Anolis sagrei: one gene and its partners. The protein of the gene in region 1 interacts with the protein of each later gene in a pairwise test. Links are inferred from orthologs where the notes say so. Each region holds a gene or a part of one and is shown in the gene's direction. Other genes may lie near its edges.

Region 1 (5,313 bases):
TAAGAAAGCTTACAATTCCTGTTTGTTCATTAATAAAGAACTGTTATATTTAAGCTCAAGCCTCAAAAAGACTGCTTAGTAAGGGGGATTTTCCTAAAGGCTTCTTTTCTGGGCCCCTGGCTTCCCGCTGGATGCAAGCCTAACATCCTCTCTTAAAAGCACCTCATTTCGGCTCCAGCGGTGACAGAACAATAGTGTAGGTCGCGACACATTAGTGTGTCCGCTGCAGTGCGTAACAGGAAATGACACAAGATTAAAAATTATATGTGTGTGTATGAGAAAGATTTCCATGAGATATGTTGCATTCCTATACATTTCGTTATTACAAATTGGGCCCAGGCCTGGTCTAGACTTTAGAATTTATTTATTTATTTTACTATATTTGTATACCGTCCTTCTCAGCCCTTAGGCGACTCAGGGCAGTTTACAATGGCAACGATTCAATGCCTAAAAACACCATAAAGGTAAAGGTAGTCCCCTGACATTAAGTCTAGTCATGTCTGACTCTGGGGTGTGGTGCTCATCTCCATTTCTAAGCCGAAGAGCCAGCGTTGTCCGCAGACACCTCCAAGGTCATGTGGTCATATAAACTTGGATGTTTGAACAGGCATTCGGTTAAACAGTGCAATGAATGTGATGATTACAGGAATGGAAATTTGGACGACAGATTGGATCACGACTCCAGTTATGAGATGTATTGTGTTGTCTAGGGTTGTGTCAATATTGTATATTATGCTTTTATGGTTTTAAATTGTATATCGTTGATTGTTTTTTATCCTTGTTGTAAACCGTGTTGAGTCGCCTGTTGGGCTGAGAAACTGCGGTATACAAGTAAAGTAAAGTAAATAAATAAATAAATGACTGCATGGAGCACCGTTACCTTCCCGCCAGAGCGGTTCCTATTGATCTACTTACATTTGCATGTTTTCGAACTGCTAGGTTGGCAGAAGCTAGGGCTGACAGCGGAAGCTCACGCTGCTCCCCGGAATCGAAGCTGCGACCTTTCAATCAACAAGCTCAGCAGCTCAGTGTTTTAACCCACTGCGCCACCGGGGGCTCCTTAAAAACACCACAAAACATATAAAAACATTAACACATAATATAAAACCATAGTAAGAATACTATAAGCATTCAATTAATGCACTTTGGTCCCACTTTATGAGCTAATTGTTTTACAATATGCTATGATTTTGTATATTTATGACTATGATTCTGTGATTTATTGGAGAGCCCAGCCAGCCATGTTATCTTCCTGAGGAGAACCTTCTCCAAAGGCCACCAAAGCAGACTGAGACGGTTTGGATCAGGCAGTGGGTGGAGCTACAGGGGGCGGAGCCACAGACGCTCTCGCCCCTCCCTTCGCTGTCTCCATGGTAACCAATCGCCGCCACTGCCCTTCGCTCCCACCAAAGACCCAACGCCTCGGCTACCGCGAGTGCGCATGCGCCCGCGCCCACCAGCTCTCCTAAAGGGGAGGCTGCACCAACCGATAGGCCCACCGCTCTTCCATTCATTGCTTTCTCCCCCCTCCACTTTTTCCCTCTTTTTCTTTTTTATTCGCTCGAGTCGGGATGATGTCCAACGACAACCTTCTCCCGTCACCAGGAATCATCCTTAAAAAAAGACGTCCCTCCTGATTCAAAGTAAGTCCTTATATATATAAATAGAGGGCCGGGAATGGGGGAGAAAGATCTCCCCCTTAACGTTTTGTCGCAAAGCAGGATGGGAGTCGTAGTCTTAGCGGCAACTGCTTTGTACGATCGCCTGTGGAACCGCGGGCCTCCGAGAAACTACAAAACCCAGAAAGCTTTGCGGGAAGATAATCAGATTCATTTTGGCTCTTACACCTTGAGGCCTGCCCTCCCCCCGTTTATCCTAATAGAATGGCTGGCCAATGGGAGGCCCTCTGGCAGGTAACCGTTATTTGTAGGAAAGGGCAGAGGGAGGGGTGGCTGGTGTTTGGAAAGGCACCCGAATAACGGTGATGGGGAAGCCCCGCCCCACTGTGATTGACAATTCGTTCTGCCAATGACAGTGGCTGATTATTTGGGGCTATATGCCAAGGTGTGCCAAGTATGTAGAGAGGATATAGACCAGACCTGGGACAGCTTGAGCCCTCCAGGTGTTTTGGACTTCAATTCCCACCATTCCTAACAGCCTCAGGCCCCTTCCTTTTCCCCCTCGGCTGCTTAAGCGGCCGAGGGGGAAAAGGAAAAGGCCTGAGGCTGTTAGGAATGGTGGGAATTGAAGTCCAAAACACCTGGAGGGCCAAAATTGGCCCAGGCCTGATATAGACTAAAAGGTGGCATAGAGTAAGGCAGGAATTAGATGCAAACAGAGGCTGCCAAATAGATGACAGGAGATTGAAGGGTTTCTTACATACTATATATAGGTCTTCCTTTGAAATATTGTTACCTGGGGCCGACAAATACAAGGCTGGGGTAAAAATTGCTGGGAGAAACATTAACAAGCTTAAATATGCAGATGATACCACTTTGATGGCCGAAAGCGAGGAGGAGCTTTCTAATCAAGAAGAAAGTGCAGAAGCTGAGTTGCAGTTAAACATAAAAAAAACCCCCAGGATTATGACAACAAGACTGATTGATAACTGGCAAATACAGGGAGAAAATGTGGAGGCAGTATTTATTTATTTATTTATTTATTTATCGTGTCAGGCAGCCGAGCAGTTGTACTACATTTTTGACAGAACAAACAAACAAACAAACATACAAAAGACACAGAGTTTGCAAGCTTGGCAGTTGATTGACTGTCCTTTGACCAGTATTTGGCCACTTGGTGTGCCTCTGGTGTTGCCGCAAGAAGATCCTCCATTGTGCATGTAGCAGGGCTCAGGTTGCATTGCAGCAGGTGGTCTGTAGTTTGCTCTTCTCCACACTCGCATGTTGTGGATTCCACTTTGTCACCCCATTTCTTAAGGTTGGCTCTGCATCTTATGGTGCCAGAGTGTAGTCTGTTCAGTAGTTTGTTCAGTGGAGGCAGTGACAAGCTTTTTATTTCTAGGTGCAAAGATTACTGCAGATGCGGACTGCAGCCAGGAAATCAGAAGATGCTTACTTCTTGGGAGGAGAGCAATGACCAATCTTGATAAAATAGTGAAGAGTAGAGAGATCACACTGGCAACAACGATCTGCATAGTAAAAGCAATGGTATTCCTCGTAGTAACCTACGGATGTGAGAGCTGGATGATAAGGAAGGCTGAGCAAAGGAAGATAAATGCTTTTGAACTGTGGTGTTGTAGGAATGTTCCGTGAGTGCCTTGGACCGTGAGAAGATCAAACCAGTCCATATTCCAGAAAATAATGCCTAACTGCTCACTGGAGAGAAGGATAGTAGAGGCAAAGTATTTTGGCCACATAATGAGAAGACAGGAAAGCTTGGAGAAGACAATGATGCTGGGGAAAATGGAAGGAAAGAGGCCAACCAAAGGCAAGATGGATGGATGGTATCCTTGAAGAGACTGGCTTGACCTTGAAGGAGCTGGGGGTGGTGATGGTCGATGGAGCTCTGGCGTGGGCTGGTCCATGAGGTCACGAAGAGTCGGAAGCGACTGAAAAATGAACAACAACAAGGAAACTCACTACAAGGGCTTTACACGTTGTGTAGTTTTATTGACTTTGATATTTTGTCAGTCTAACATCATTAGGAAGGGAATTCCATAGATGAGGAGCCACCATTGAGAAGGGTTTATTCTTTTTAATCTGTCTGGCAAGCCTGAGCTCATTTCACAACTTAGCCTTACAATCCTTTCCCGTACATATGTTGGTCATTTGTTTGAATTCCTCTATGGTGATTTTCCCCTTTTCCATTTCTTATGCATGTCTCTTAAATCTTAACTCAGTTAAAAGTTCTTTGGACATCCATTCTGGTTGCTTTACACTTCTCTTATTTTTTCTCCTTGCTGGCATTGTTTGCAACTATGCTTTCAGTATTTCACTTTTTAAAAACCTCCCATCCACCATTTGCTCTCTTCTCTTCTAGTATTCCTGTCCATGCTCAATATTTCCTTAAATTTCCTGAAGTCAGCTCTCCTAAAGTCTGGAATACTTTATGCATGGCTTTGCTGATACTTGTTGCATGATCATGGATCCAAGGCAGGTTTCTGAGTATTAATGCCTGATTTTATTATGATGTTCTTTTATGCTGTTCTCATTCATTGTGTTGATACGTTTTTATGATAGTCAACTAACACTCAATCATTAATGACGTTGCATTCATAACCTTGACTCAGTCATCAATCCACATAGAAACTGCAGTCAAGACATCAGAAGAATAACTGGAAGGGCAACTATGAAGAAACTAGATAAGACCCTCAAGAGGACAATGAAGTAAAGCAACCCATTTGAAATGTGGTGCTGGAGGAGAGTTCTAACCCTCACCGTAAGCCTGTCAAAAAGACAAATAGATGAGCCTGAGAGCAAATCAAGTTGGAACTCTTTATTACAGGCCAAAATGACTAATCCAAACCTACTTCATTTTGGATATACAAAAAACCCTGGAGAAGACAATAATACTTGGTAAAGCTGAAGGTAATAGGAAAAACGAAATGCTGTATTTCTGTTTTATTGGCTATTCTAAAGCTTTTAACTGAATGGATCATAATAAATTGTGGCAAGAACTTGGTGGTAAGGGGATACCAAGTCACCTTGTCAATCTTCTGAGGAATCTGTATAATGACCAAGTAGCAACAGTAAGAACAGACCACGGAACAACAGACTGGTTCACTATTGGGAAAGGAGTACAGAAGGACTGTATACTCTCATCCTACCTATTCAACTTGTATGCAAATCTGGGGAGAAGCGGATGAGCTCCCTCTATCAGCTCCAGCTCCACATGCGGGGACATGAGAGAAGCCTCCCACAAGGATGATTAAAACATCAAATCATCTGGGCGTCCCCTGGGCAACGTCCTTGCAGGTGGCCAATTCTCTCACACCAGAAGCGACTTGCAGTTTCTCAAGTCACTCCTGACACACACACACACACAAAAACTTGTATGCAGAACACATCATGCAATATGTAGGGCTTGATGAATCCAAGACAGGAGTTAAAATTGCTGGAAGAGACATTAATAAACTTAGATATGCAGATGATACCACTTTGATGGCTGAAAGCGAGGAGGAGCTGAGGAGCTTTATAAACAAGGTGAAAGAAGTGCAAAAGCTGGGTTGCAGTTAAACATCAAAGGAACAAAGATTATGGCAACCAAACGGATTGATAACTGGCAAATAGAGGGAGAAAACGTGGAGGCAGTGGCAGACTTTGTATTTCTAGGTGCAAAGATTACGACAGATGC
Region 2 (5,313 bases), on another chromosome or scaffold:
AGGGGCCTGGGTCCCCACTGCCAGATAATCTGATACAAACAGATAATCTGGAATCCGATCATGGGCTATAGGAGCAGTGTGATATGTGCCTGAGACTATACTGTAATTTACTCAGAGACATGCAGTCACCTCAGTATTTATTTATATGCCATCTTTTCCCCAACAGCAAGGGGACTCAAGGCAACTTGTAAAACAGATACAATTAAAAAACTCATATAAACAAAAATATAAGAAGTTAAAATATACATAATTAAATTATCAACAGAATAAAAGGCAATTTGAAAACATATACATTAAAAAACAAGGAACAACAGTACAGCTCCACACCATTAAAATAGACTTCCTCATAAAAAGTTCCCAAAGGCTTGTAGACATTTTTAAACATGAATTTTAAAAAATGTTAAAACTTCCAAAATATACATTTTAAATCCTTCTTAACCATACTAGTACCTCCAGGAAGGAAAGTCCAGATCTCCCTTGGTGTTCCAGAGTCTAAACTAAGGGAACATCTACACCAGCATGGGCAAACTTGGGTCCTCCAAGTGTTTTGGATTTCAACTCCCACAATTCCTAACAGCTGTTAGGAATTGTGGGAGTTGAAGTCCAAAACACCTGGAGGATCTGTTTGCCCATGCCTGATTTACACAGCAGAATTAATGCAGCTTGGTATGACTTTGACTGACATGGAACAGTGCTATGAGATCCTGGAAGCTGTAGTTTGGCATGGTCTTCAACCCCCTCTGCCAAAGAGGGCTGGTGCTCAACAAAACTACAAATCCCATGATCTCATAGCATTGAGCCATGTCAGTTAAAGTGGTGTCGAACTACACCTTTGGTCCCCTAGGTGTTTTGGACTTCAGCTCCCAGAAATCCCAGCCAGTTTTCCAGCTGTTAGGAATTGTGGGAGCTGAAGGGCCCAAGTTTGCCCATGCCTGATCTACACAGCAGAATTAATACGGTTTAGTATGACTTTGACTGACATGGCCCAGTGCTGTGAGATCCTGGAAGCTGTAGTTTGGTAAGGTCTTCAGCCCTTCTGCCTAAGAGGGCTGGTGGTCAACAAAACTACAGATCCCATTGAGCCATGTCAGTTAAAATGGTGTCAAACTACACCAGTGGTTCCCAACCTTTGGTCCCCCAGGTGTTTTGAACTTCAACTCCCAGAAATCCCAGTCAGTTTGCCAGCTGTTAGGAATTGTGGGAGTTGAAGTCCAAAACACCTGGAAGGCCCAAGTTTGCCCATGCCTGATCTACACAGCAGAATTAATACAGTTTTGTATTACTTTGACTGACATGACCCAGCGCTGTGAGATCCTGGAAGCTGTAGTTTGGCAAGGTCTTCAGCCCCCTCTACCTAAGAGGGCTGGTGCTCAACAAAACTACAGATCCCATGACCCCACAACATTGAGCATGTCAGTTAAAATGGTGTCGAACTACACCAGTGGTTCCTAACCTTTGGTCCCCTAGGTGTTTTGGACTTCAGCTCCCAGAAATCCCAGCCAGTTTGCCAGCTGTTAAGAATTGTGGGAGTTGAAGTCCAAAACACCTGGAGGACCAAAGGCTGGGAACTACTGAACTACACTAATTCAAGAGTGTAGAAAGATGCACCCTTTGCATGCATGTTTGGGTGGTTTGCTGAAAGATACAAGCCGAAATGTGGAAACCAGGTTTGCCTGCTAGTGCAATGAACAGGGAATGTACATTTTATAGAGTAACCTGGCAGCCAATCTATAGATCTCACTCATCTGATGTAGAGGATCTGAAAAGAGAGGGAGGAGAAGAGGAAAGGTTCTTTCGGGCGGAAGTTGGCTGGGCGGCTTCAAGGAGGCGGGTCTATTTCCGGGTCACAGGTGAGGCGGGGAAGGCGGGGCGGGAGCCTGGGAGAGCGGGAGGGGAGGCGGTCTCTTTAAAAACGGCCCAGGAAAAGAAAGGACAACAAGCTGCAGTAAGTCGGGCGCATCCTAAAGGCTCATTTGGGGGCATGGAGGCTGGCTGGGGATTAATAACACATTTCTCTAAGTCTCTCTTCTATCCCTCAGGTGGGAATCCCTCCTTCGCTTGGTCCTGCTCAAAGAAGTATCACTATGGGTCTATTCCAGTGTAAGAAGGGGGCAAAGGGAAGAAACACGTGGCAGCACCTTTAAGACTCAATGTCCTTTTTTATTCCCGGGATCTGATCCCAGATTATCTGGGAGTGTAGACTCATATAATCCAGTTCAAAGCAGATCATCTTAATTAATGTAGTGCAATATAATACTAATAATAATATGATATAATAATTATATATTTATATTACATGTAATATTACTAATAATATTACAGTATAATAGTATAGTACAAATAGTAATACTTAAATCTGATATGTATATATATCTTGTAAGCCGCTCTGAGTCCCCTTCAGAGTGAGAAGGATGGCATATAAATGTCGTAAATAAATAAATATAGGGCAGTGCAGATCCAGCCTCCGATCTTAATCCACTGCTTTGGATATTGTTATCAATTGCTATCAAGTTAGCATGGCGACCCTCAGGAATGAGATGTGGCCAAGGTTGCTGCTGCACTGTAGAATTAATGCAGTTTGGAACCAGATCCAGCTTCAAGGAAACTTTGGTCCTTCTAGGCAGGCCCTGTATACCAGGATGTGATCCCAGGTTTTCTGTTTATCCCAGATTATCTGGCAATGCAGACTCATATAATCCAGTTTAAAGCAGAAAACCAAGGATCAGATCCTGGGATAAAGGATCTGTCTGGAAGGGCCCTTTGGTGCAACCGATCAGTTGTATTTCTCATGTAAACACACTATGCAACTAATTAATTTCCCTCCTCCAGTGCTTAAGTCCCAGTGTAAATGTGCCCCAGTTGCCCAGACTCAATAAAGAAAGCCATGGCTCTACATTTGCAAGACTTGGGTGCCTCTGTGACCCCTTCAACACAGCTGAATAAAATCCCACATTATCTGCTTTGAACTGGAATATATGGCAGTGTGGACTCAGGGCCCTTCCCCACAGCCCTATATCCCAGAATATTAAGACAGAAAACCCCACAATATCCGCTTTGAACTGGGTTATCTGAGTCCACACTCAGATAATGTGGGATTTTCTGCCTTGATATTCTGGAATATAGGGCTGTGGGGAAGGGCCCCATATTTTAGAATGAATGCAGTTTGATCCCACTTTAACTGCCATGGCTCAATGCTATGGGATCCTGGGAGATAAGATGCCGCTTTATAAGGCCTTTAGCCTTCTCTGCCAAAGAGTTCTGGTGCCTCACTAAACTACAGCTCCCAAGATTCCACAGACATGGCAGTTAAAGTGGTCCCTGTAGTTATGGCCCTGGAATGCACTCTTCCTCTTTTTAGATTGCCTTCTACCTTATCAAGCATTATTGTTTTTTCTAGTGAGTCCCATCTTTCCATTATGTGTCCAAAGTAGGATAGTCTCAATTTAGTCTCAGTTGAGCCCCCGGTGGCACAATGGGTTAAAACCCTTGTGCCAGCAGGACTGCTGACCGAAAGGTTGGTGGTTCGAATCTGAGGAGCGGGGGTGAGCTCCCATCCGTTAGCTCCAGCTTCTCATGTGGGGACATGAGAGAAACCTCCCATAGGATGGTAAACATCTGGGGCATCCCCTGGGCAACGTCTTTGCTGACGGCCAATTCTCTCATACCAGAAGCGACTTGCAATGTCTCAAGTCACTCCTGACATGAAAAAAATAGGTATCTTGGCTTCTAGGGAAAAGTCCATTTGTCTATCTTTTTAGCAGTCCACAGTGTTTGTAGAACTCTCCTCTAGAACCACATTTCAAATGAGTTGGTTTCCTTCCTGTCAGTTTTCTTCACTGTCCAGCTTTCTTTCACAATAATTGGAAATGCAATGGCATATATAATCCTAATTTTAGTCTCCAATGATATATCTTTACATCTCAGGATCTTGACTGGTTCTTTCATAGTTGCCCTTCCAATATATAGTCTTCTGATTTGATTGCAGTCTACCTTCTGGTGAACAACAAGGCAAATCTTGAAATCTTTGAGTGTCCTTATCATCCACTTTAAAGTTAAGAGGAATAATAAATGTTCCGGTATAAAGCATATTTGCACAATTGTGCATCCCATACAGTAAACCTAAATAAGAAACCCTGGCATTCATCACTGGGGGTTCCAAGTTAAATTCGGCTGCAGAGGCAAAATGGCAAAGGAAAGGACAAAGATATCATGAACTAATGCTCACATTTATTTGCTCAACACATGACTTTTAAAATTTAAAGGGTTTGCTCTGGCTTGATTTTTTTTTTACTGGGTTGAAGATACATGTTGCATACTCCAGTCCTGTAACAGAGAAATTTGCTACAATGACACGGTGTACTACTTTTTTGCTTCCCTATTGATGTTGTATAAACAGAGGGATCAACGCTTGGTTTGTCTGAGTTTCAGTATGAAGCATATTTGTTTAGATATGTTGGGTCAACATTAATACAAATAGTAAAAGCATAGGTTCTGTGCCTCTGCCTGATGGTGATCCAGAAAAGGTGAAAACCAACATTTTTCTCTAATTAATTTTCGTCCCCTCTTGACTGATTTTTTTTAAATTTCCCATAAATACACACATGGTTCTTGCTGAAATGATGGATTCTGGTTTTATTGTTTCTTAATAAATGCTGATTTTATACAAATGTGTTATCAAAGGCTTTCATGGCCGGAATCACTGGGTTGTTGTGAGGTTTCTGGGCTGTATGGCCATGTTCCAGAAGCATTCACTTCTGATGTTTCATGCACATATATGGCCGGCATCCTCAGAGGTTGTGAGGTCTGTTGGAAACTAGTCAAGGGAGGTTTATATATCTGTTGAAGGTCCAGGTTGGGAGAAAGAACTCTTGTCTGTTGGAGGTAAGTGTGAATGTTGCAATTGATCACCTTGATTAGCATTGCAAAGTCTTGCAGCTTCAAGGCCTGGGTGATTCCTGCCTGGAGGAATCCTTTGTTGGGAGGTGTTTAGTGCCTCAGTTTGATATCTTAAATGGAAGAAAATAAATATTAATCATTGACAAAATATTATTCTTCCAAATCAAGACTGCTCCTTTTATCTTCTCAGGAGAGTGGGGCGCTGGGTCCTCTGTTATGGAGGTGAGTAACACAACTTCAGCAGACCAGGTAACTGTCTATTCTAAAACAGTATCTTAAGAAGTAAAAATGTTTAAAGCTTTTTATAGTTAGGAGAAAAAGGCATTTAGAATTATTGTGCTGCAGAGACTGTTTTTATGGTTAACCTTGCAACTGTATTAACCTGTTTCATTTAAAAATAATCTTTGGGAATCTTAA
Region 3 (5,313 bases), on another chromosome or scaffold:
GGCCAGCCCTGGCTGATACTTGGATGGGAGACCACCAACGAATATGGGATTTAAAGGCGCAAACACAAACTTACCTGGGGCTAAAATAAAGACAGCCTTTGCTTGTGAGTGGACGTACAGTTAATTGCAATTAGGCGGGATCTGTATGTGATTGCAACCATGCCCGCCCCCAAGTCACCCTACACACCGCACCGCTTGGACCTTCATTTCTCTTCTGCCTCCCGAAGCCTACTGAGCATGCGCGACCCATTTCTGGGCGGAGCATAAAAACCAAACGCCGGTACGTCTGCCTACAGTGGTTGAAATAGGCTTCCGCGTCTCTTGGACTTCAACTCCCATAAGCCTCCGCTCCCTTAGCATATGATGAGGCATTCTGGGAGTTGAAGTCCCAAAAACCCAAAGCTTGGGAAACACTGGTTTAGACTAAAGGAGTCCTGTGTTTTTGAGAACATAAAGTTAATGCAGCTTGACACCGCTCCAAGAGCCATGTCACAATGCTACAGAACCCTGGGATTTGTAGTTTTAGAACATCTCTAGCCTTTTCTACCAAATGGTGCACCTACACTGTGGAATTAATGAAGTTTGACACCACTTGAACTGTCATGGCTCAATGCTATGGAATTTTGAGATTTGCAGTCCAAGAATGCTGGTGCTTCACCAAACTGCAGCTCCCCAGGATCCCATAACTTTAAGCCATAGTGTGAAAATGCATTCATTCTACAGTGTACTACAGGCATGGGCAAACTTCAGCCCTCCATTTGTTTTTGACTTCAACTCCCACAAATCCTAACAGCCTACAACTTAAAATATACAAATATACAATAATAAAACGGTATATCATAATATATTAGTATTACTTTACTACAATATTATTATTATATCGTATTATTATTAGTATTATAGTGTATTACATTATATTATCATGTAATACAAGAGACTTAAAAAACCAAAAAATAAAAAAATACATTACAATGCATGCACAAAACCACACACACACACATATATATGCAAACACACATATATACACAAATATATACATGCACATATACACAAATACGCACACAAAACACATATAGACAGACTGGGTCACAGTAACGCGTGGCAGGGGATGGCTAGTATAATATATTATATACTAGCCATCCCCTGCCACGCGTTGCTGTGGCCCAGTCTGGTGATCTGGAAAATAAAGTAATGGTTTCTAATCTATGTAATTTCTTTATGCATGTGGGTAAACAACATTTCTTGCTGTTTCTTTGTCAGTGTTGATGTGGAGAGTATCTGGTCTGCCTATTCTGGAATATGCAACATATCATTGTCCTTCTTTAGGGTTCCTTTCAAACCTATGATATTATATCTGTGCGTGTGTGAATCATATATATCTATCTATGGCTGGATGGCTCTTTGTCAGGAGGGCTTTGTTTACGTTTTCTTGCCCTGGTGAAGAGAGTTGGACTGGATGGCCTGAAGTATTTTCTGTTGGTCATGAGGGTTCTGTGTGGGAAATTTGCCCCAATTCTGTCATTGGTGGGGTTCAGAATGCTCTTTGATTGTAGGTGAACTATGTATCCCAGCAACTACAACTCCCAAATGTCAAGGTCTATTTTCCCCAAACTCCATCTGTGTTTGGGCATATGGAATATTTGTGCCAAGTTTGGTCCAGATCCATCATTGTTTGAGTCCACAGTGCCCTCTGGATGTAGGTGAACTACAACTCCCAAACTCAAAGTCAATGCCCACCAAACCCTTCTAGTGTTTTCTGTTGGTCATAGGAGTCCTGTGTGTCACCTTTGGTTCAATTCCATCATTAGTGGAATTCAGAATGCTCTTTGATTGTAGGTGAACTATAAATCCGGGCAACTACAACTCCCAAAGGACAAAATCATTTTTTTTTTTAGTGAAGGACATACATTGGGTGGTTAGGTGTACGCTGTCCAAATTTGGTGTCAATTCATCCAGTTGTTTTTGAGTTCTGTTAATCCCACAAAAGAACATTACATTTTTATTTATATAGATCATAAGTTGTATTATATATGATATATATTACATTGTTAATATTATGTATTGTTACATTACAATCTTATTATTTCTATATATTATAATATATATATTGCATATCTATAGAGAGAGAGAGAGAGTAGATGCATCCTTAGCGTCCTTAAGGGAACTTGACACCTCACCAAAGCGCCCCGCCCCCTTTTGGCCAGGCTGACCTAGATGCATTCTGGGATTCGTCCAATCAGGGCGCGGCCGCCATGTTGGGTTTAAAGCGGCTGCGACGCGATGTGGGCGGGGCTTCGATGACGTTTGTTTTTCTCTTCGCCGGGGAAGGGCCGGGAGGAGAGAGTGGGTGCTGAGGGCGCATGCGCAGTCGCTCATCCATTCCCGCGAGCTGGTTCTTCCTGAAGGAATCAAGGCGAAGCGGCGGGTACGTGTTTGCTCTCCTTTTCTCCCCTCAGAGGCACGGCGGCCGGCCTCCGTCTCCTTCTCTCAGGCCAGGAAGGGCCTGGTTGCCTTGACAACGGGGCCTAGCTACTCTCAGGGTGGTCCTGGCAAGGAGGTAGGCCTCTTCACAGGTAGAGGGATGGGGGGACCGTTATTAAAGGGAGGCAGGCTGAGGGGAAAGCAGGGACGCTTTTGGATAGCCCATTCCCAGGCCCTGCTATCTCAGTGGCACTCTTCGTATGCTCAGGGGTAGTGTTGCCATTCTGCTGTGTGATGGCTGAGAATCAGTGCTGCTGTGAGTGATATTTGACGCTATAATCAATGCTCTTATGGGAGGCCTTTTAAAGGTTCTTGTGGGTTTTTTCGGGCTATAGGGCCATGTTCTAGAGGCATTTCTCCTGACGTTTCGCCTGCATCTATGGCAAGCATCCTCAGAGGTAGTGAGGTCTGTTGGAAATAGGACAAAGGGTTTATATATCTGTGGAATGACTGGGGTGGGGCAAAGAACTCTTGTCTGTTGGAGCTAGCTGTGAATGTTTCAACTGACCACCTTGAGTAGCATTTGATGGCCAGGCAGGGCCTGGGGCAATCTTTTGTTGAGAGGTGATTAGATGTCCTTGTTTGTTTCCTCTCTGTTGTTTTGCTGTTGTAATTTTAGAGTTTTTTAATACTGGTTGTTCATTTTCATGGTCTCCTCCTTTCTGTTGAAATTGTCCACATGCTTGTGGATTTCAATGGCTTCTCTGTGTAGTCTGACATGGTGGTTGTTGGTGTGGTCCAGCATTTCTGTGTTCTCAAATAATATGCTGTGTCCAGGCTGGTTCATCAGGTGCTCTGCTATGGCTGACTTCTCTGGTTGAAGTAGTCTGCAGTGCCTTTTAAATATTGCATCATTTCCATCTGTGGTCAGCCATCCCTTGGTAGTGACATGAATTTTAACATTGTTGTGCTTGTTTTAACGGTTGTAACATTTAATTCTATTTAATATTGATATTTTGTAGGGGTTTTTAGAATTGTGTATGTATTTAAAGCTCTGAGCCACTTTGGGGCTCCATCTGCACTGCCATATAATGCAGTTTCGAAGTGGGAATATAGCATGATAGAAAAGAAAATAATAATAATAATAATGGTAATGATGCTCTATTTAATGCTCTTATACTGTAGACATTTTTTTAATGCCATGTTATTTCCATTCAGGATGAGTCATGTGTGACGCTGAGTGTGCGCACACACAACATTGAAACAATAAAGTTAAAGTCCAATGTCAAAAGCCACATCCAAAAATAAAAGCCATATCCGGTAAAGCAGTCCTTATTTAACATGCTAGACATTAGGCTCTTCATATGCTTGAGAGCATTGGTGAGTTTTTAATAGCTTTCTGTATTTTCTGTATTTTATTTTATTTTATTATGTGTATTGCTGGCATCAAATTGTGCCTTTTTGTAAGCCGCCCTGAGTCTCCCTTCGGGGGTGAGAAGAGCGGGATAGAAGTGCTCGAAATAAATAATAAATTTCTGAAAGAGGACAATGAAGGGGCCATTCTAATTTCCTTTGGGAGAGATCCAGAGGCGAGGCAACTGCAGAGATGATGATGTTGATGTTGTATTTAATCTCTTATGGGAAGTCTTTTGATGCCGTGTTATTTCCATATGGCATGAGCCATGTGTTGTTCTGAGTGCGCTGACAGGAATTGCTTTTAAATATTGTTTTTTATTTGTACCCCACTTTATCTCCCCAAAGAGAACTCAAAGCAGCTTGACATAAAAGCATTAGTATACCATTCAAGGAGCCTCGGGTGGTACAGCAGGTTAAACCACTGAGCTACAGAACTTTCTGACCAAAAGCTGAGCTCCCGCTGTTAGTCCTAGCTTCTGTCAACCTAGCAGTTCTTAAACATGCAGATGTGAGTAAATCAATAGGTATCACTCCTACAGGACAGCACTCCATGCAGTCCTGCTAGCCATATGACCTTGGAGGTATCTACGGATAACACCAGCTCGTTGGCTTAGAAATGGAGATGAGCACCACCCCCCAGAGTCGGACATCACTAGACTTAATGTCAAGGAGAAATCTTTGCTTTTACTATACTATTTAAAATATGCAAACACTAAAACACAAGCAGCACTAAAAAAATTAGTTAAAATCCATCAAAATATATTTACAGCTAAAGACCACAGCACATTTAACATTTTTCTTTGTTTTAATGGTTATAATTTTTTTTTTATTTTCAAGTGTATATATATATTGGGGATGCATTTAAATTGTACAGGCTTTTTAAGGCTGTGAGCTGGTTTGGGTTCCACAACTGGGAGAAAAAAATGAGGTACAAATCAACATAATAAAGAAGATGATGTTGCTGAAGATAAGTGCCAGGGCTAAGAAGACCGAGGCCCCGTCCACACAGCTGAATAAAATCCCACATTTTCTGCTTTGAACTGGAATATATGGAAGTGTCAGATAACCCAGTTCAAAGCAGATATTGCGGGATTTTCTGCCTTGATATTCTGGGCTATATAGCTGTGTGGAAGGGCCCTGGGTTAAAATTTAGCTCTGAAGGCACATCTTGTGTCAGGTTTTCTTCCTCACCACAAATTGCTGTGGTCAGCTGCTCATCCATGACTCAGTGGCTTAGGAAGGGCTTTGGAGAAAGAATAATCAACCTATATTGGCCTATGGCATTAACTTTGCTCTCCAGGCACAGTGCTCCAGGCTAATATAGGTTGACTAGTCCCTTCTTCAAAATGCTTGGAACCAGAAATGTTTGGGATTTTGGGTTTTTGTCAGATTCTGGAGGATCTGCATTTGCATATATAAATGCATATGCAAATGAGATGTCTTGGAGATGGGAGTCAACTGTAAACATAAAATTCA

Evidence for each region.
Region 2: the proteins of KATNAL1 (region 1) and CEP57L1 interact in binary tests that used the Homo sapiens proteins (3 or more experiments, as listed by UniProt). The two-hybrid records come from large-scale screens. The link is inferred for Anolis sagrei from reciprocal best matches to the Homo sapiens genes KATNAL1 and CEP57L1.
Region 3: the proteins of KATNAL1 (region 1) and KLC4 interact in binary tests that used the Homo sapiens proteins (3 or more experiments, as listed by UniProt). The two-hybrid records come from large-scale screens. The link is inferred for Anolis sagrei from reciprocal best matches to the Homo sapiens genes KATNAL1 and KLC4.

Annotation. Positions count from the first base shown.
Region 1 is NC_090023.1:32,585,526-32,590,838, reverse strand, and holds the start of KATNAL1 (katanin p60 ATPase-containing subunit A-like 1), read left to right. Parts: upstream 1-1,819; 5' UTR 1,820-1,894; coding exon 1,895-1,913; intron 1,914-4,262; exon of another isoform or gene 4,263-4,547; intron 4,548-5,313. UniProt on the Homo sapiens protein: Regulates microtubule dynamics in Sertoli cells, a process that is essential for spermiogenesis and male fertility. Severs microtubules in an ATP-dependent manner, promoting rapid reorganization of cellular microtubule arrays.
Region 2 is NC_090021.1:93,991,658-93,996,970, reverse strand, and holds the start of CEP57L1 (centrosomal protein CEP57L1), read left to right. Parts: upstream 1-1,892; 5' UTR 1,893-1,945; intron 1,946-2,057; exon of another isoform or gene 2,058-2,100; intron 2,101-5,086; 5' UTR 5,087-5,112; coding exon 5,113-5,145; intron 5,146-5,313. UniProt on the Homo sapiens protein: Centrosomal protein which may be required for microtubule attachment to centrosomes.
Region 3 is NC_090021.1:25,294,938-25,300,250, forward strand, and holds the start of KLC4 (kinesin light chain 4), read left to right. Parts: upstream 1-2,317; 5' UTR 2,318-2,425; intron 2,426-2,431; exon of another isoform or gene 2,432-2,557; intron 2,558-5,313.